4 linked regions of the Schizosaccharomyces pombe genome follow. The gene in region 1 interacts genetically with each later gene. Each region holds a gene or a part of one and is shown in the gene's direction. Other genes may lie near its edges.

Region 1 (4,620 bases):
CGTCTTCTGTACTCCAGTAAGGCGTACTAATTCGGACGGTTCTAAGTAGAAAAACACAATCCTGTAAAGATATCTCTTTAGATTCAGGCTTGACCAAAGTCAAAGTAGAAAGGTTGGAATGCGAGATTGTATACAAAGGAAGCACTCTATTAAATGTAACCAAAGAATCGTGACAGTCTCTAACGGATATAGAACAATCAAAATAAATAGAAGTTGGGAGGGTTTCGAGAGAAGTTGTTTCCTTACTATTCGTCTTTTTCTTAGAAGAAGATTGCGGTGTTTCGTATGAGCGGCGTTGTAATTCATCTTGAATTTTGTTCTGAAGCGTTTGTTCTTCCTCAAATAAGGCATCTTTCTCCCGTTTTAACCTAAGTTGTAAATCCACTTCCGCTCTCTCTCGATCATGCTTTAGTTGTACCGCACGTTCCTCTTCCAAGCTAGCAAATTGAGAAGAGAGGTCAGACTGCCAATCATTAAGATAGTCCTGCACTATACTGGCAAGTTCAAAAATCATTTCCTCTCCTAGCAAGTCTTTTGCCTTTGTATCTAACTTATCAAGCAAAAATCGAATCTGAGAGTTTAGGACATTTTCTCCATTTTGTAACTTGATCACTGGTTTCACATAAGGATAGCTTCTTCCAAGCTCAATACAAAGATCAAGTTTCGCAATACTTTTAGAGTTTGCACTTCTTGAACATAGATGTATACAATAAACATGGCCGTTTGTAACCTAAGATACCATTGTTAGTAAATGGGTAGTGAACAAACATTAATCATACATTCCAAGCATTCCTAACTTTCAACTCCTCAAAATCATCCATAAAAATGGCTTTGAGGGCCTCAATTTCATTTTCTTGAATTTCCTTGCATAGTTCCAGACGTTTCGCCGCATCCATGAACAGCTTTTACCAACTATTGTTGCCAATAATTTACTAGTTTAATAGGAAGCAAATATATTTATTCACAATTAAACTGTTGGTTGAAAATTCGTCCTGTGTAAACTGGAAGGAAAGAAAGCAAATCAGTTTATATCAGGACGGCAATATAGGACTTGAAAATATAATTATTATCAATTCTATTTCTTTTCTTTCCTCTGAATTGGATTTTTAGATAAATTGCTTGTTTGCCGCGAATTTGCTGGAGGAAGAAGTTTCTCGCTCGTGGTATACTAAAGATGGAAGAACGCAGTATACTGGTATTGTAATGAGTATAGATTGATTTGAGCCGAATAAATGCGATAATCGGCACGGATCATACATTCTTTAGTTAAGATGTAATTTTGAGTTGGATAAGATGAATCAGACTTCAGATCTTCAATCGATAACGAACAGTTGGATATAATGATTATCTGCATTTGTATGCAAAGCGCTTCATTGTTTGAAGTGAAGCGGTCAAAAAGTTTTAACTTTTAATCGCGTTTGGTTAACTTTTCTTCATTGTTTTACCATAATCATGGATTTTTGATTAAACTACAAAGACATACTTCATAACTGATAAAATAGATACACCAGTAAACTATAACAGCGTTTCATATAATGCAATATAATACAAATTTGTAGTTGCATTCGAAATGTTATACCTTTTTTCCTCCTCTCCTTTCTTCATCATGGTCAGGAGAAGTTTGGAAAATGCAAGCACGCTAGCCTGAAAGCTCGAAACCGCGCAAACTACAGTTTATTTTCTAATTTTACTCTTTGTTCAGACTAATAAGTTATTACACTTATAAAAACAACCTATGAAAATGGTGTGAGTTAAAAACTAGAATCCTGCTCGATTACTAGTAATATGGATGGTTTGTATACTGTTGAAAAAGTCAAGGTTAAATTATTGCAAGCTACAGAAGCTACGGCAGTCATTATATTGGAAAGTAAAGCCTCTGATATACTTTGCTAGCATTGTTCATCGTACGTAAAAACGTGGTAAGGGTAGTGCCTTCATCATCGTTGACGAAGTGAGAATTTTCGAATTACTATTAGATTTTTCTCCCTTGCACGAAATTAACCTACAAAATGGAGGCAGCTCAAGCTTTTGAAAATCTCGCAAACCTAGAGCAAGAGTTTGGAAAAGCAGAAATCGAAATATGTATGTTTAATCGATTTTGCATTTTTGTAGCATAAAATTACGTTTTTTATAAAAAATGTGTTAACAATTGCTAATGTATCTTGGTGCTAGTGAAGAAACAAAATGAGCTTTTTCAACCGCTTTTTGAGCAGCGTCGTGATATTTTGAAGACCATTAACAACTTTTGGGTAGTAGTTCTGGAAGCTGCTGGGGATGAAATCAGTATGTAAAATTGTATACTATTATTGTTTTTGTTTAAACATTGTTGAAATTCTAATTAAGTTATTTCAGGCCAGTACATAACACCTGAAGATAGTGTGTTACTTGAAAAACTCGAAAATATTTATGTTGAAAGGTTTAATGAAAAGGAACCAAGGGATGTCCGAATTTCGCTTACCTTTCAACCAAACGAATATCTTCAGGACGACAACCTTACCTTGGTAAAAGAAGTGAGAATTAAAGAGGAAAAAGCAAAGGATGATGAGGGTTTGGAAAAAAAGATAACCAAGTATACTTCGCAACCTGTTGATATACATTGGAAACCAGGAAAGAGTTTATTTAGAAAAAATAAAAAATTACCTCCTAATTTTTTTGACTATTTTCAATGGACCGGAGAGGAAGAGGACGATGATTTTGATGGAGCAACACTCACAATTTTTCTGGCAGAGGATCTTTTTCCAAATGCTGTAAAATATTTTACAGAAGCCATGACCGAAGAAGCGAGTGATGAGGATGAGTCAGTAGATTTGGAGGAAGATGAGGAAGAAGAAGACGAAGAAGACGAAGAAGGGGACGAAGAAAAGCAAGGTACGAAAACAGGTCTTAAAAAAATAAGGCGAAAGCATGAATAGATGATATGATAGATGTCAATGTATTGTAAAACTAACACAAAAATCGCAGAACCACCTTCCAAAAAGTCCAAGAAGTCTAATTAATTTAAGGAACGAGAACACAGACATGAAATTTTTTTTGTCTTCCCAAAGCTCGAGGTTACCTATGGAATGATTGGTTATTCGTTTATTGGGAAGATGGTTCAAAGAATTAAATAATACAATATAAAGATTTAGTTACAGCACAATAACCAATACCAACAATGCAATTAAGATGATAATGAGTACGGTAATACAACATCCAGATTTAGAGTCTGCGCTTGCAATCGTAAAATCTTTCAACCGCTTCATACCCCTGCGAAGCTTACTATTAGTGGTCTCAATGGAATTGTCAAGAGTATCTAACAAGTCAGCCTGTTGACCCAATTCTTCGCCCATCAAAGCTGCCTGCCCACGAATGTTTCCAATCGTGTCGTAAACCCCGTCCAGCATTACGTCTTGTTGCTGATAAAGCTGCTCTTGATATTGTCGATTGACAGCATGATCTTCTTCAGACAAACCAGCTGAGGCACCATTGTCAACAGTATAAGGTTCTGTAGAAACTGGTGTGCTTGGGGCAGCACCCATCTTTAACTGTATATTGTTTAACTCAATATCCAGTTCCGAGACAAATCTCCTTCTCGACTTTAGTTCTTCTTCATCTAACCCAAAATGCTCAGAATTTTTCATCGCTATTTCCACAGCAGCTTTTAAGTCCTTCAATGTTTCGCTTAACTCATCAATGGCGTAAGTAAGCTCAGTATTTGGTGAAAGGACTCCAGAGTTTCGTGCGGCCATAAAAGAATTGTAAAGCTTTCGCACTTGCTCCATTTGATTTGATGCATCCCTATATTTCGAATAAATGTCAGTTAAATAAAATCTTAAAGCAACAAAAGGAATCTATTAAGACATTTCTGGTTCATCATTGCACAACTTACGCTTTGACTTCATAAAAGGGGTCCTCCATGTTGATGATGTAGAGATATGAGCCAATTTTCTACTTGGAAATGCTTTTATAATTTAAAGAAAAATAAGATAATATAAAATAAACGAAGCAAATTCGTATTATCAGGTATGCTGTCTGCAAATACTAAAGTACTGTGCTGATTCAGTCAAGTAACGACTTTACGATAGATAACGCTACCTAACTGCTCACTCAAAGATCACCGTAAACATTGAGTCCTTACAAAACAAGTAATGGAGAATAAATAAGAAAGCAATATCTCAATCTTGTTGAAAAAACAGCAACCTCCCCTTGTCACTATTTTGTTTTGATTCAACCGTATTCCACCGTTGTATGTTAGATTAAATGTAAACATCTAGGTAAATAAAACGTTTTCAATGGCCAAAAGCAATCTTTCATTCTAGCCTTTGTGCTAAAAAATTAATTCTATTGCTAAAAACCTAAGACTAAATGTTTTAAGAGAAACTGAACACAAAGAAAGTCTTGTGAGCTAAAACAGTACGCTATATATCGCTAGCTTGATGTAAACAAAAGACGCGTAGACACTATTAACATGTTATCAAGAACCACAACATGTCTGAAATTATAACGTCTTTGCAAACAGAGCTGAGCAATCGCCATGCTAACATGGTATCTGAAGCAGTATTAGCATTCAGTGAGCATCATGATAGTGCATTGCATTCATATTTTTTGAATGCACGTGTCAAGTACGTCCATAAGTTTCTT
Region 2 (4,745 bases), on another chromosome or scaffold:
AGTCGAGGTATCAATGAAGCAGATACCAAAAGAAGGCTCTTCGTTGTCAGATTGAAGACTTTCTTTAATAGCCATACAATATGTTGACAAGTCAGAAGTCAGCATTGCCTCGTCAACAAGGGTCCCGCTCGTTAAGACTTGGGTAAGGCCTCGCTGAACTACTTTTTCTTCCTTCTGAGTTCGTTGACGATCTTTTATTTCTTTACCTAAAGCGGTTTCCAATTGGTCGACTCGAGCTATACGATACCCCTTTGCAATGAATTGAGATGCCCAGTAATCAAAACTTGCTTCAGGAATTCCAACCATCTTCATATTAACTCTATCAGTTAACTTTAAGGAAAATACCTGATGTCCGATAGCGGCATCATTCTCATATAACTCATAAAATTTTCCCTTCTGAAAAAAAACAACTGTATCCATAAGGTCCTTTTTAATTTTCCAAAATTGTTTCTCAAATGGCTTGAAAGTTGCCCAAGCTGAAGGTGGGATATACAATGTGCGCGGATCATAATTAGGATCACCCACTCGATTTTGATCAGCATCTCGAACATCTAGCAACCACTCGTAACGTTCGTTGTTTTCTTTTTTAAATGCCTCCATTCTTTGCCTTCTTTTTTCTTCTCTGTTCAGGACACCGTTTTTATTCGATTTTGTGGGAGATGCAGAACCCGAGACCGAAGGGCTTGGACTGGCAATTTGAGAGCCTAGCCGATAACTTTCATACAAAGAATTGGAACTCTCCTTTCGAGATTCCTTTTTGGGAATTGGAGCAGCCACAGAAACGGAATGATCTGAATATCCATCAACATCCTCATCCATAGATTCGACTTCATCAATAGGCAAGGATGCCTCAGATGAGGCTTCCGAAATATGATCGGGCTCAACGTAGTCATCCGATTCGTCATCAGAAACGATTCTTTTATGACGAGATCCTTTGGTAGGTGCATCGTCGAAGTCTTCGTCTTCATCACTTTCAGCGTAGGAAACAGGCTAGCATATTGTTAGTCATAATTAATTAAAACAAAAATCTGGTTAATATAGGGGTAAAGTGCGTATTTCCCCTTTTATTCTTCTAAAGTAATATGTATCACTCAATTACCCATACCTTCCTTGAACGCCGAGAAGCTATAAAAGGCTTGTCGACTTCAGATAATTCCGAATTTTCCAGCTTCGACGAGACAGGATGACGAAATTGATCTTCAGCTTGAAATATTGATGTATCCAAACTTTTAAAACTTTTCTTTTTCGTCGGAGAATCGATTTCTTCTTCAGAGTCGGGCTCTTGCTTCACAGACGTGCGAAGCAATTTACCTGGTGACTCCTCGCCCAAAGAATCATGAGGGCGTTTAGGAGATGATCGGTGTAGGCTGCTAGAAAGCGGTGAGGAAAATGGATCACTTGATGGAGGAGGAAGCATAGATGAACTGGAATCTATCTCGGTATTCGCATGATGAGAAGGACTCGTTGGCAATTCGCGTTCCGGAGACGAAGAGTTTTTGTTCACATTGGAGCTGTTGTCAACATCAGCAGGCGTATCATGATTAGAGTCGTGATTCGAACTACTAGATAATGTAGAATCCGACTTCTCTTGTTTCACATTCGGGATTTTGGAGAAAAACCCAAAGAGGGTTTTCTGCTTTGTTTTAGCTGATGAATCTTTTGTTTTCTCCCTTTGCTTGCCAACGTTCCCAACGCTCATACTGGAACAAGTGTTGGTTTTGGCTAAGTTCAGTTATTTACAAAAAGCAGCATTCTAATAGTAAACAAAGCTAACATGAGAGCACAAAATAACATATATAATTTCCATTATTTTTAGTTTTACAAGAAATTAAATTGAAGCTTTATGTATTTACATCTGTAAAAATAGCGTGTTTTTCAAAATCGCATTTAGCTACACCAGCGCTCTTTCCTTCTTTACCGTAATCTATATCCACTACCACCGTCTCACTACACCATACTTTGACCAACACAGTAAGGTGGTAGTATAAAGAACTAGAACGATGGAAGAGTACGAAACAGACATTAAGCAAATTCTCGGTACAGTTGATCGCCAAACTGTATCTGCGAAGCAAGTTCGTCAACTTTTAGAAGAAAGAAGAAAGGTAGATTTGAGTGCGCATAAAAAAGACTTGAATGCGCTGATTTTGAAATGCTTTGATGAAACCGCCGCACCTTCAGAGAAGGAGAGTTTAGGTAAGATGAGAATATTGCTGGAAGAAATTTGCAAATAATAATGCAAGAAATAATAATTAACCAAACTTGTAGAAAAACAAGCACCCGCTCGCAAAACCAAGGGTAAGAGAGCGACGGAAAATGGCACTGAAGAAGGCAAGAAACCAGCAAAGAGAACCCGAAAACGCAAGGAAGATGGAGAAGAGGGTGGAAAACGCAAGAGGAACCAAGATCCTGCCAACAATCCTCTGAATAAGCCTATGAAGTTGTCCCCTAAGTTGGCCGAATTTTTGGGTCTTGAACAGGTAAGGCGGTGTTGTAGTGTGGAAGCCGTGCCTACTCGTTCCATTCAAAATCTTGTTGTTTTGAAAAAAGAGGCAGGCTTACATACTAAATGTTTATTTGCACGCTTTCTCTGCTGATTGCTAACTAACGTAGTTATCTCGTCCCCAAACTGTGAAGAAGTTATGGGAGTATATAAAAGCACATGACTTACAAGATCCCAACGACAAGCGAACAATTCTTTGTGATGACAAATTGAAAAGCGTTTTCGAAGTCGACACTTTGCATATGTTTACCATGAACAAGGTAAGTTAATCATGGATGGGTTCACAATTGTTTTAAGGAGGTTTGTCAACAAACTTTTACTTTGTCGATTGTAACTTTCCTTGTCTACTTTTTTCATTTGGTTACTTGTGGAAAACATTCCGCATTGCTCTTTGTTACCTGCTGCCGAAGCTAAGCTAACTTAATTAATAGTACTTAACAAATCTCATGACGAAGATTCCTGATGATCAATTGCCCAAACCTCAGCCTAAAAATGAAGAACCAGCGGCTCCGAACGATCTTCCCAAGCAGGAGGAAAAAGAGTTGGTCGAGCCTCCTACCGCCGAATCCACCGCTTGAGCCTTTGTGTTTGCTGCATGACCATATAAAACAGCCAAAACTTTTTTTCATATAATATCTTGCAATAATCCCTTTTTTTTTTGTCTCCAAAAATCATTCAAGTTTTTTGCTTTCATTGCATGCAATAAATGTTTATTTCGTTCAATACTCGCTTGCTTACCTGTTTTTCCTCAACAGATTTTGCCTATGTCCATGTCATATCCGTGCTTTAATACTAGAGGCTATGTATGTCTAGAGAGTCTCCACGCATAATCAGATATCGTATTTTGCATTACAACTTTCTGATCTTAAATGCAGTGTGAAAACAAAAGTTCAGGTTGCTGACTTTAGACCTTGGGTTGCTACAAGAGGTAATTTACGTTAGACTGACTGTGATTTTACGAATATTTCTTATCACCTATTCCTTATGGATATCTTTGTGCTTTTTTTTATAAATTCATATAGCATATTGATTTTCTTTTCTAAATGAACTGTTGTGCATGATGGAGATTTTCATGTATTGTATTAACACTTTCTTCACCGCACCTTTAATTATTTTACCGCTGCTTTGCTCTATAATATCATTGAAATAAAAAATGATTCACTTCAGCCCATTGTCGGGGAATTTTGTTTACGAAACCACCGTCGCTTGGAGCTGTCGAAGCCATATCATCAATAATAAATTTTATTTACTACCCTTGCGTATTACAAACCCATAATATGATGTTTGCTTTACAGTTTTGGATGATCTAAGATATGGCTTGGTTGTATGACTAGTACTCGTCTTGTGTCTATAGTGTATATATTAAATTATACGCAAATGGATGTTTTCTGGATATATGCTTTTAAGTCTCAAATAATGTACTGTCTTTTTAATTTGTTTATTATTTTATTTTGGGATTTTCTTTGGGGTTGCAAACCTGTCATCCGTTTGTTAGAGTATGTTTACATAAACATTTTTGTGTGCTTGTGGGTCGTTTTTTTTTTGGAAGATTGCTGCTTATAACCGTCAAAAGACTTATAAATTGATTAGACTGAGTGGAAAGTGTTCTTCTCTTTTATATTAGTCCTTAATGAATATACTTATTATTGATTGAATCATTTCATGGTGTTTACGACTTCTAAAGATCCAATCACACTTTAGATGAAGCCACATTTAACAGTTGTAACAATTGCATTTATTTGTAGACAGGACAACGCTTGCTTACATACATACACGACTTCTTGTTTAAGCACAAAGTAAAAAGATTATGGCGAAAAAGTTAGGGGAATATTTTTTTCAAAACAAATTAGTAAATTATATAAGCCCTTTATAAGAGATTGCTATTTACTTCCGCTGTACATTCAATGCTATATACGTTTCTAACAAAATATTCGATGCACGTTTCAAAAATCAATTCAGAAGCTTAAAAACTTTCCAATAATGTTGAAATTATAAATATATTCTTAGTTTGCGATATTCCAGCTAATTCAGAGGTCTCCAGCTAAACTGTTTTTTTTAGCATACAGCAGCTCGCTTTACGAAATTTTATTTACCCAGCGCCATACACGCAATCTTCTATAAACAATCAAAATGTCGCCTTCGGGCCCCAATTTAAATAATAAGGAGCACAACAGAGCATCGGAAAAAAAGAATTCTAGGACTCATAATAAAAAAACTAATAGGAATCGTACGTAACTTCCTTGTT
Region 3 (4,494 bases), 2.1 Mb from region 1:
ACAATGTTCGTTTTGTAACATTGAAACCAAACAAGTAAGTATGAGGATCTTAATTTACAATTTAAAGTACATTTTCAATGATAGCAATTGAAATTGTTTTTTGCATAAGGAGATAGAGGTGATCTAGTTTATCTCGTTCATATTGATCTTACTGACTTTATATTAAATAGTACAATTCACCTCGGAAAATTTGGTTCATTTCTCGCTGATGATTTGTTTGGAAAGCATTTTGACGAAACTTTTGAAATTTATCAACCCAAAAAAATTCGAGTTTTAAAAACAAGGGAGGTACAGTATATCGAGGAAGAAAAGAAAACGAATCAAGAACTTAATGATTGTCGAGGCAATCAGCTTATGACTCAAGAGGAGATTGATGAACTGCGCGCAAACATTAAAGCTGGTGGACTTCGTGCTGAAGAGGCCATCAAACAGTTGACTAATAGTAGTAAAACTTTTGAGCAAAAAACTTTATTTGCTCAGGAGAAATATGTTACGAGAAAAGGGGAAAAGTATCTTCAACGCTTTCAGGTTTTACGACCTTGTGTTGAAGTTGTGGCTAATTACATGATTGAACATGATCCGTATAAGATACTTGATCTTACTGCCGAGTGTATAAGCTTGATGCTTACTCTTGGAAATGTTAAACCTGGGGGTAGATATTTGGTAGTTGATGAGACTGGATGCATGTTCCTTGGTTCTCTTATTGACCGTGTTGCTGGTGATTGCAAAATAACCCTGGTCCATCCAAATGAGCAACCTAATAGCTCTTGTTTAGAGTATTGGGGGCAAGACTTTAAAGAGGATAGTTTGGTTCAAAAAGGGATTTTGAAAACTTTGAATTGGTATCAAGTTACGAATCCAACCGAGACTTTAAGTGAGTATTCGGTTGAAGATATTCCTGAATCAGAGTTGAATGAGATGAAACTTCGCCACCGTAAGCGCTATGAAACGAAGAAAGCTACATTTAACCGTTTGAAGAATACTATTGATGATTTTGAAAGTGGTAACTATGATGCTCTCTTTATACTATCTATTCACACCCCAATGTCTGTTCTTCAACATCTTCTTCCAAAGCTCGGTATATCACGTCCTTTCATGGTATACTCAACATATCAGCAAGTCTTAGTCGAGACGTATCATCAATTATCTAAATGGGATAACTTATTTGTAGAAAAGACAGCTCAAAGTACTGAAAATGACGAAAAGGTTGATCAAGGAGACGTTGCTATTGATACACAGAAAGAGAAAGTCATCATGCTGGATATTCATGAGATTCGTACACGACCTTACCAAGTCTTGCCAGAAAGGACTCATCCATTCATGACTGTTAGGGGTGATATGGGTTTCGTTTTATCTGGGATCAAGGTGTTAACTTCTGACAGCAATCTAGCTGCCGGAAGGTTTCCAAAACGTAAGGGCCAGAAAGAAACTTCTTCTGTCAAAAAAGCAAAATTGGAAAATTAGATATGAAATATTACTTTTGGAATATTTTTTTCAAGGCTACTCTATTAGATCAACAAGGGGAGTTACAATTTTGGACATAAACTCAGTTACGTTGAATTGGGAAAAGGTTTTTGTTATATTAAAAAGTTTTTTGTTTCATTCTTTAACTTAAAATTTTCATACGTATCAGAAAATGAATATGTTAGTTGGATAATGTAATTGACGGTGCGGTTTCAGGTTAACTCAATTTTGAAGAGCGTTAAAGTACAGTGTCTTTTGCTTGGCATTTTCATTCTTTTTAAAAATAGATTACTTGTAATAAGTATAAAATTAGTTACAATTTGACTGCTGCACATATACGTATTTAAGTAAAATAAGTAGTACATGGTCAGAGCAGCTGTGGATAGCCTTTTTGATCTTAAGCATGTTAATTTTAAATAAATATAAAAACTGATGAAAAAACAGCTTATAAATGACAATGTCGCATTTTGGTCTTATTTACTCGGTATAATGAACCCCATACTAGCGCTATCGCCAAGTTCGTTAATTTCGAAAGGACACCTAACCACGCTCCTTTCACCACTAAGCTTTACTTCGTCGAGTTTATAACCAATGACTGAATTTATTGGTTCTCGTATTAGTCTAATTAGCAAATCTGACATTCGGTACGTGAGAGCATTATCTTTCCTTTACTAATATTTAGTTATGTGGGCATTTTGCAGGACATCAATTCCCAGGACTCAACACTGGCTTTGAAGCATGGTAGGTTGAGTACCCAGCATTGATTACTAACAGTTTAGTCCGTTGGTGTGGTACTGAAGGAAGAAAACAAGATCCCTCTCAAGAAATCCCCCCATCAGATAATGTATTTGATTACATTGTTTTTCGTGGAAGCGATGTTAAAGATTTACGGATTGAGGAACCTGCTACTACTCCTTCTGCTCCCCCGGTTCAACCTCCTAATGATCCTGCAATTATTGGGGTATGTTACGTCTAAAGAGTGGTGGAGATTCTCATTAGTATATCTAGTATTAATTATCTTTGGCACTCTTTATATATCTGACAAGATCATGATTTTAACTATAATTAGTCTAATAGCGGGCAGTATAATTGGAACCAAGCGCAGACTGCCCAACCTCCTCAGCCTGTTCAACCTAACCCTTATGGAGCTCCATACCAACAGGCTCCTCCAGCAGGTGCACCTTACTATATGTACCCGAATGCTCCCGCTCAATTTGTACCTCCTGGAGGTTTGCCTTTGGGTACTCCCTTAGACGCATCCACACCTGCGGTCCCGTATTATGGGGCACCTGATCAACAGCAAATGGGTCAACGTCCTGAGTTTGCTCAAAATGTTTCTCAAGGGTTTGCCGGTCAGGCCCCGTACAACGTACGTCCTGGATACGGAATGCCTTCAAACCAGAAGCCTCCCAACTTTGCTCCGGGCATGCCTGCTCCTGGTCCTACCGCGGTATCTGCATCTCCGTCTCTTCAATCCATGCCGCCCACGAATGGAGTGATACCAGGTGCACAGCCCTCCATTGAAGCATCTATTGAAAAAGAAAGTACTAGTATACGGAATTCCACTGTCACAAATGACCGTGTTGTGAATACTACTGTGGATGTCTCTCAATCCCAAACCGTTGAAACATCTGGACCTTCTAAAGAAGTTCCTACAACTCAACCTGATGCTAGTGCTGCAAAGCCTCGTACCGAATTTGACTTTCAAACTGCAAATCAAAAGTTTCAATCGATGAAAGATGATTTGTTAAAAGGAAAAAATGATGAAGAAGCCGAAGAATTTTACAAGCCTAAGCAATCTTTTTTTGATAATATTAGTTGTGAAAGTAAAGAGAAGGGTATGGAAGCTGCAGATAGAAGAGCTCTACGAGATCGCGAACGTTCTTTGAACATGGAGACATTTGGCGTTGCTGGCTCTGGAAATCGCGGCCGTCGTGGACGTGGTCGTGGACGTGGTGGTAGAGGTCGTGGACGTGGATATGCAAGAAATCAATATAACCAATACAGGAATTCCAATGGCTCTCAACCTAGAGCCCAGCCTGCAAACGACCAATGAACTGCATTTCTTATAATGAGTACAGATGAAGTATCCTCGTTTCTCTAGATTGAGCTTCGTCTTCGTTTCAATCATGATGAACTCAAAATTTATGGACATGTATTTAACGACCCGAAAAAAGGTGTTCTCTTATATAAACCAAAAGGATTAGTCGTTGTTATTTGATATTTAACTTAGGAGTTTTGTTAAGTTCTTGTAGAGTGCTTTAAAAACTATACTTATCTGCTCATGTATTACGCAAGAAGAACAAGCATTGAAACGATATCCTATACCGAGATTTCGTAAAGGTATTACGAATAAATGTTAATGGGTTACATATAATTACCAAAAGGTTGAAGACTTAACCAATCCGCTAATGTTTATTCTTTTATACACCTTGATAGACCCAAAGCATCGCTGGTTGCATGACTGAACATTGAACAACCCGTGTTTTTCAACAGTCGTTTCGTTTTTGAAAAGCGTTTTGTAAAAATTTGATTCAGTCGACTTGTTTGAAGCTGACAAACTATAGAATCCAAACAACAATGTTTGAGCAGTATGAACAATTTATAAGCGAATCGTTTTAAAAATAAAAATGTGCTCTCTTAATTTTAGCATTTTTTAATAGTTTAAATTTCACGAACTTAACTACGTGATATAGTGTTTTAATAATCAGCAGTAGAAAAATTAGAACTTAATATTATTTGATCATCAACGAATATCGGAACGCAAGAGTTAACACGTAAACGATACATTACAATTATGTTTTGTTATCAAAAGTAAATTGATCCAGCGATTGAAGCTAAACCAGAGAAAAACATAAATGCGCTTCGAAATAAGTTTTTAAAACCCCATCTGTGAATTATACTGCGGAAATTTTGAGTAGCCTTTACATCTTTAAGTATTAGATCTGGATTTAACGTTTGTAAAGAGTTAATGTCCTTTTTCATAAACAAAAGCGTGAAAGGAATAATACATAGTCCAGATAAAGCCGA
Region 4 (4,258 bases), on another chromosome or scaffold:
TTACGATCTGGCGTTTATTCTGTGCTTTTAATACTTTAGGCAAGTCGCGCTTGCAACCAATCCATGTAGGAAAATATAGAAAATAAACAATTTCTGTTTATTACTAAGCTTCGTTAAGATTTTGCCGTTCTTCTGTTTAGGTATTGTAATTACTTGTAAGTTGCACCGTTCACGAGTGCCAAAAAAAATACTCAATAATCTGACTATAAAGTGTTTAAAGGTATAAGATAATATACTAACCTAATTCATTATTTTAATTTCTAAATCTATTGCAAACTGGTAAACTTTCTTTCAATACCTGCCAATTCGATAATCGTAAAGGCATCTCGCGCATCAAGGAAAACATGAGGTTTAAAGGATCTAAAGCATCATGAAACTGAAATTTATCTTTATTCAACTAATAGAACCTATACTATTTGAAAGCTCAAATTCTACATTATACAGTTTTATAACGATAGTGCAGTAAATCCGATACAGTAGTCTGTTGTTCATGAACTCATTGTTGATCAACCTGTTCATAGCAAGTATGGCGCTAAAAATTAAAATACCAGAAACGTCTCAAGTAAGCTTTATTCCTTTAATTTTTACTTACAACTAGTCTTCTGATGAATATTCACGATGGACGGTTTACCATATTGAAGTAGCATTTCCGAATGGTGGGAAACATGTTGTATTTCGTCGGTTCAATGAATTCGTTGCTTTGGATGCTCAAATTCGGCCAAATGACTACAACAGTAGACTTTGCAAACTCCCCTCTAAATCTTGGGTTTCTTCAACTGTGACAAATGAAAAGTTACGTGAATCTCGACGACTTGCTTTACAAGCTTACGTTCAATGCCTTTCAGAAACGCCATGGATAAAAATGCCTGTGGTTAAAAAATTTCTAAATATTAAAGATGAATCGGAAGATGAAACACAGGGTCAGTTTTTGGGTCCGACAGATTGGATTCAAGTATTTCAAGATTGTAAACGTAATTTACATATGTACCGAGTTGACTTAATGAGTGGAAAAAGCATTACGATAGGAGTTCAAACAAAGAATGTCTATGCAATAAAGTCGCTAATGGATAACCTTTCAGAATCGTTAGACAAATTAGAATTAGCAAATGCTCTTGGTCCAGGAGAAATCCTTCGACGAAAAGATATGTTAGAACAGCTTGGTTCTGAATTCTTGTCATTTAAACGGTTAGTTAAAAATGCAAACAGCCCAGTCGCTCCTCCTTCTGCCTCATCTCAATTAAACTCTTCTAATCCTAGTTCTCCCTTTCGCCCATTATCTGCATCTACTGACAAACAATCTAATACCTCTTTGAACAGAGTCCTTGGAAAAAACAGAATGCCAGAGACACAGACAACAAAAAAGCTTGATAATGTAGGACTGTACAACATGCAGAATCAAACTATGGAAGATCAAGATATGCAAGCAGAATCGTTATTGCCTATTATTCAAAGGCAGAAGGAGCTTTCGAAAATGATTAATCAAGAAGTTGTCGAGCAAAACTCCATGTTAGACGAGCTTTCTAATGAAGCATATGCAAACCAAAAAAAGCTACACAGAACACGAGCTGGCCTTCGCAAATTGGGTTAATATTTGGGTGTTTATGAGTATTTGATTTAATTTCACGAAATTTAATGGAATCTTCTTTTGCAGTTTTGTCTTGTTTTCTATCCAATTCTGCTACATTAGTGATTGTCTTGGATGAGATTATCTGGGCTAAAAATATTTATTATTTGGTGTATTTGCGTTCTTTCCTTTTTTTTTTTTTTTGTTTAATCTTCTTGAAGATACCGCAGTAACCTCTGTGAGTTATATAGGCATGGTTAGTTCGTCCGTCAAGGTTGAAATAATTGTCTCCTTTAATTAAGCTTGATATTAATATACGACTTGTTTAAATTTCAACTTGTTTTGACAGACCCCATTTCTTTTGTATTTTGGTTTGGCTTGTAGTTCCTTTTAATGCATTTAGTGTACTGTGCTTAAGCTCGCTTTCTTTAGATTTTACTTATTGACAGACTTAGACAACTGAAATTCCAATAATGGAATTAACGCAAGAGAATACTGAGGAAAATGAAAAAACTCATGTAGAATCAATTGTAAAATTTGAGGATTCGAATAGAGGCACCATTACTGATTTTCATATCGAGACAGCTAACAATGAGGAAGAGAAAGACGCCAACGTAATTCTCAATAAATCTGTTAAAATGGAGGTTGAAGAAGTCAACGGTCACGTTGATTCTTCCTCAACGGAAACAGACATAGAAATGCAAGTCATTCAACAGCCTACAATACCCAAAAAACCACCCGTATCAGCTCATAGAAGGGGTCCACGAAAACACCGAGGAAATGCGAATAGCCAACTCAATCTGTCTACAGCCGATCATCAAAGACCATTGTATTGTATATGCCAAAAGCCTGATGATGGATCATGGATGTTAGGATGTGATGGTTGCGAAGATTGGTTTCATGGCACTTGCGTTAATATACCTGAATCTTATAATGATTTAACTGTACAGTACTTTTGTCCTAAATGCACAGAAGAAGGAAAGGGTATAACTACTTGGAAAAGAAAATGCCGGTTACGAGAATGCTCGAATCCCACAAGACCTAATTCCAACTATTGTAGTGATAAACATGGAGTCGATTTTTTTCGAGAAAAAGTAAAGCTGAGTACGGTTGAACCTTCTGCTATAAAAAATCTTGTATTGTTTGCAAAAAAAAGGGAAGAATTTCAAAATTTGGGTACGGTGGGACCGACATTGCCAAGCCAAGTTCCTCCTGAAGTTGTGTACAATTTTGAAATTGAGGAGGCCAATAGGCTGAACGCAGAAATTGTGCAATTAAATAAAGAGAAAGAAGTAGCATCTAACAAAAAAATATTTCTTCAGTTGATCAAAGATTCTTCGCGGAGAGCGGTTCTTGCTTACAAAGAAAGAGAAGGTATTAAGAAAGATCTGTGTGGATTCGATTCTCGACTTTTATTCAATCAACAACAAATGAATGAATTGTGGGAAAAAGTTTCAAATGGAGCACCGCTATCTCTTGACATGAGTATAGATCCTTCTCCTGAGTCCACCTGCTTTACAGAGAAGCGAAGATGTGCAAAGCACACAAGCTGGCAGGTAATTTTTACCGAAGATTTTGAGTTGCAAGAAAGTAATATTTTACAAAAACTAAACATGAAGCAAACTGCCAAAGATGTAATGTTGGAGCATCAAAAACAGAGGTGCCTACCCGGGATACAATACGACGGTTATGCTCGATTTTGTCATGAACAGTTATCTCCCGAAAAAATGGCTAATTTATTAAAATAAACAGAAGGATGCATCTTTTGGTTTAATTTACAATTTTGAAGTTTGCTTTAATTTCTAGATCATTTCATGTAAATCACGAGGCATTGATTCGCAAATGTTAATGAAAGAAAAGTTTATATTGCTTGGCATTTGTCTCTTAATTTTGGCTTTAAATTTATTGACTCCCTGTTTCGCAAAATAATGTTGACAGATGGTAATTTGGTTTTTCCTTCTAAAAAGTCACTTTTTAACATAAGGACATACATTCTACACCCTCTCTTTTTATCAACTCATGTCTTAATGGCCTTGAGGTTTTCTCTCTCTTTTGTTTTGAAATTTATTTTATTTTATTTTTTGGAAAACGCAGGCTCCTTGGATTTCACTAATCCTTCTTATTCCAGAAGCTAACGTCACAATGAGACAGAGGATTTCGTGGAGCTATAGAAAGCCAACTTTCTGACATTCCCATTGTTCTTTTTCAAACGAGCACTATGACTTTGGCATCCACCATGCCAATTATTTATTCGGCATCTGATGCCGCAAAATGGAAAGTTGCAGTATCTCCTTACCTGTATCAACTGAGCAATTTGAAGTTACTGTTTACTGGAAAGTTGAATTTTGCAGATTTTTATTATAATACGAATCCATTTGTTGTAGGACTACTTCTCTCATTTATTTTGGGAAATGTGCTTTGGGGAGTGTCTGTTTGGACGAAAAATACATCGCAAGTGGATCGGCTATGGCCAATTCTGCCAACGGCTTTTTCCTTGCATTTTCTGTTTTATGGTTTGGGATACAACATTGCTTCGCGAAGATTAATGATTATGGCATTTTTGCAGACTCTATGGTCCGCGCGTCTTACTTACAATTATTACCGTAAAGGAGGTTATAATCGAGGAGCAGAGGACTATCGTTGGGTGAGAGTTCGCCAAATCATGCCTAAATGGATATATCCATTATTCCACTA

What was found.
Region 2: mutations in ccp1 (region 1) and spp27 together harm fitness more than expected from each alone (negative genetic interaction), as found in Schizosaccharomyces pombe (2 studies listed by BioGRID).
Region 3: mutations in ccp1 (region 1) and sum2 together harm fitness more than expected from each alone (negative genetic interaction), as found in Schizosaccharomyces pombe (2 studies listed by BioGRID).
Region 4: mutations in ccp1 (region 1) and spf1 together harm fitness more than expected from each alone (negative genetic interaction), as found in Schizosaccharomyces pombe (2 studies listed by BioGRID).

The regions. Positions count from the first base shown.
Region 1 is NC_003423.3:2,392,951-2,397,570, reverse strand, and holds ccp1 (CENP-A histone disassembly chaperone Ccp1), read left to right. Parts: upstream 1-1,989; 5' UTR 1,990-2,009; coding exon 2,010-2,082; exon of another isoform or gene 2,083-2,172; coding exon 2,173-2,283; exon of another isoform or gene 2,284-2,352; coding exon 2,353-2,868; exon of another isoform or gene 2,869-2,961; coding exon 2,962-2,996; 3' UTR 2,997-3,128; coding exon of another isoform or gene 3,129-3,777; 3' UTR 3,778-3,868; coding exon of another isoform or gene 3,869-3,897; 3' UTR 3,898-4,002; exon of another isoform or gene 4,003-4,013; intron 4,014-4,064; 3' UTR 4,065-4,099; downstream 4,100-4,620. Other genes in the region: eIF2 alpha kinase Gcn2, read right to left, coding at 1-730, 780-896; tlg1 (SNARE protein Tgl1), read right to left, coding at 3,129-3,777, 3,869-3,897; protein mug20, read left to right, coding at 4,468-4,601.
Region 2 is NC_003421.2:1,829,983-1,834,727, forward strand, and holds spp27 (RNA polymerase I upstream activation factor complex subunit Spp27), read left to right. Parts: upstream 1-2,000; coding exon 2,001-2,193; exon of another isoform or gene 2,194-2,265; coding exon 2,266-2,477; exon of another isoform or gene 2,478-2,610; coding exon 2,611-2,760; exon of another isoform or gene 2,761-2,814; intron 2,815-2,931; coding exon 2,932-3,078; 3' UTR 3,079-4,187; downstream 4,188-4,745. Other genes in the region: msh6 (DNA mismatch repair protein), read right to left, coding at 1-990, 1,106-1,699; hel2 (ubiquitin-protein ligase E3), read left to right, coding at 4,631-4,727. UniProt on the Schizosaccharomyces pombe protein: Component of the UAF (upstream activation factor) complex which interacts with the upstream element of the RNA polymerase I promoter and forms a stable preinitiation complex. UAF seems to stimulate basal transcription to a fully activated level.
Region 3 is NC_003423.3:265,435-269,928, forward strand, and holds sum2 (translation initiation inhibitor), read left to right. Parts: upstream 1-2,021; 5' UTR 2,022-2,055; coding exon 2,056-2,108; exon of another isoform or gene 2,109-2,146; coding exon 2,147-2,205; exon of another isoform or gene 2,206-2,243; coding exon 2,244-2,425; exon of another isoform or gene 2,426-2,533; coding exon 2,534-3,520; 3' UTR 3,521-3,974; downstream 3,975-4,494. Other genes in the region: trm6 (translation initiation factor eIF-3 gamma subunit Gcd10), read left to right, coding at 1-34, 171-1,464; SPOM_SPBC800.14C (uncharacterized protein), read right to left, coding at 4,273-4,494. UniProt on the Schizosaccharomyces pombe protein: Required for G2/M phase checkpoint control.
Region 4 is NC_003421.2:363,258-367,515, reverse strand, and holds spf1 (Set1C PHD finger subunit Spf1), read left to right. Parts: upstream 1-2,033; 5' UTR 2,034-2,037; coding exon 2,038-3,312; 3' UTR 3,313-3,756; downstream 3,757-4,258. Other genes in the region: vsl1 (SNARE protein Vam7), read left to right, coding at 527-562, 599-1,588; SPOM_SPCC594.04C (steroid oxidoreductase superfamily protein), read left to right, coding at 3,783-4,258. UniProt on the Schizosaccharomyces pombe protein: The Set1 complex specifically methylates 'Lys-4' of histone H3.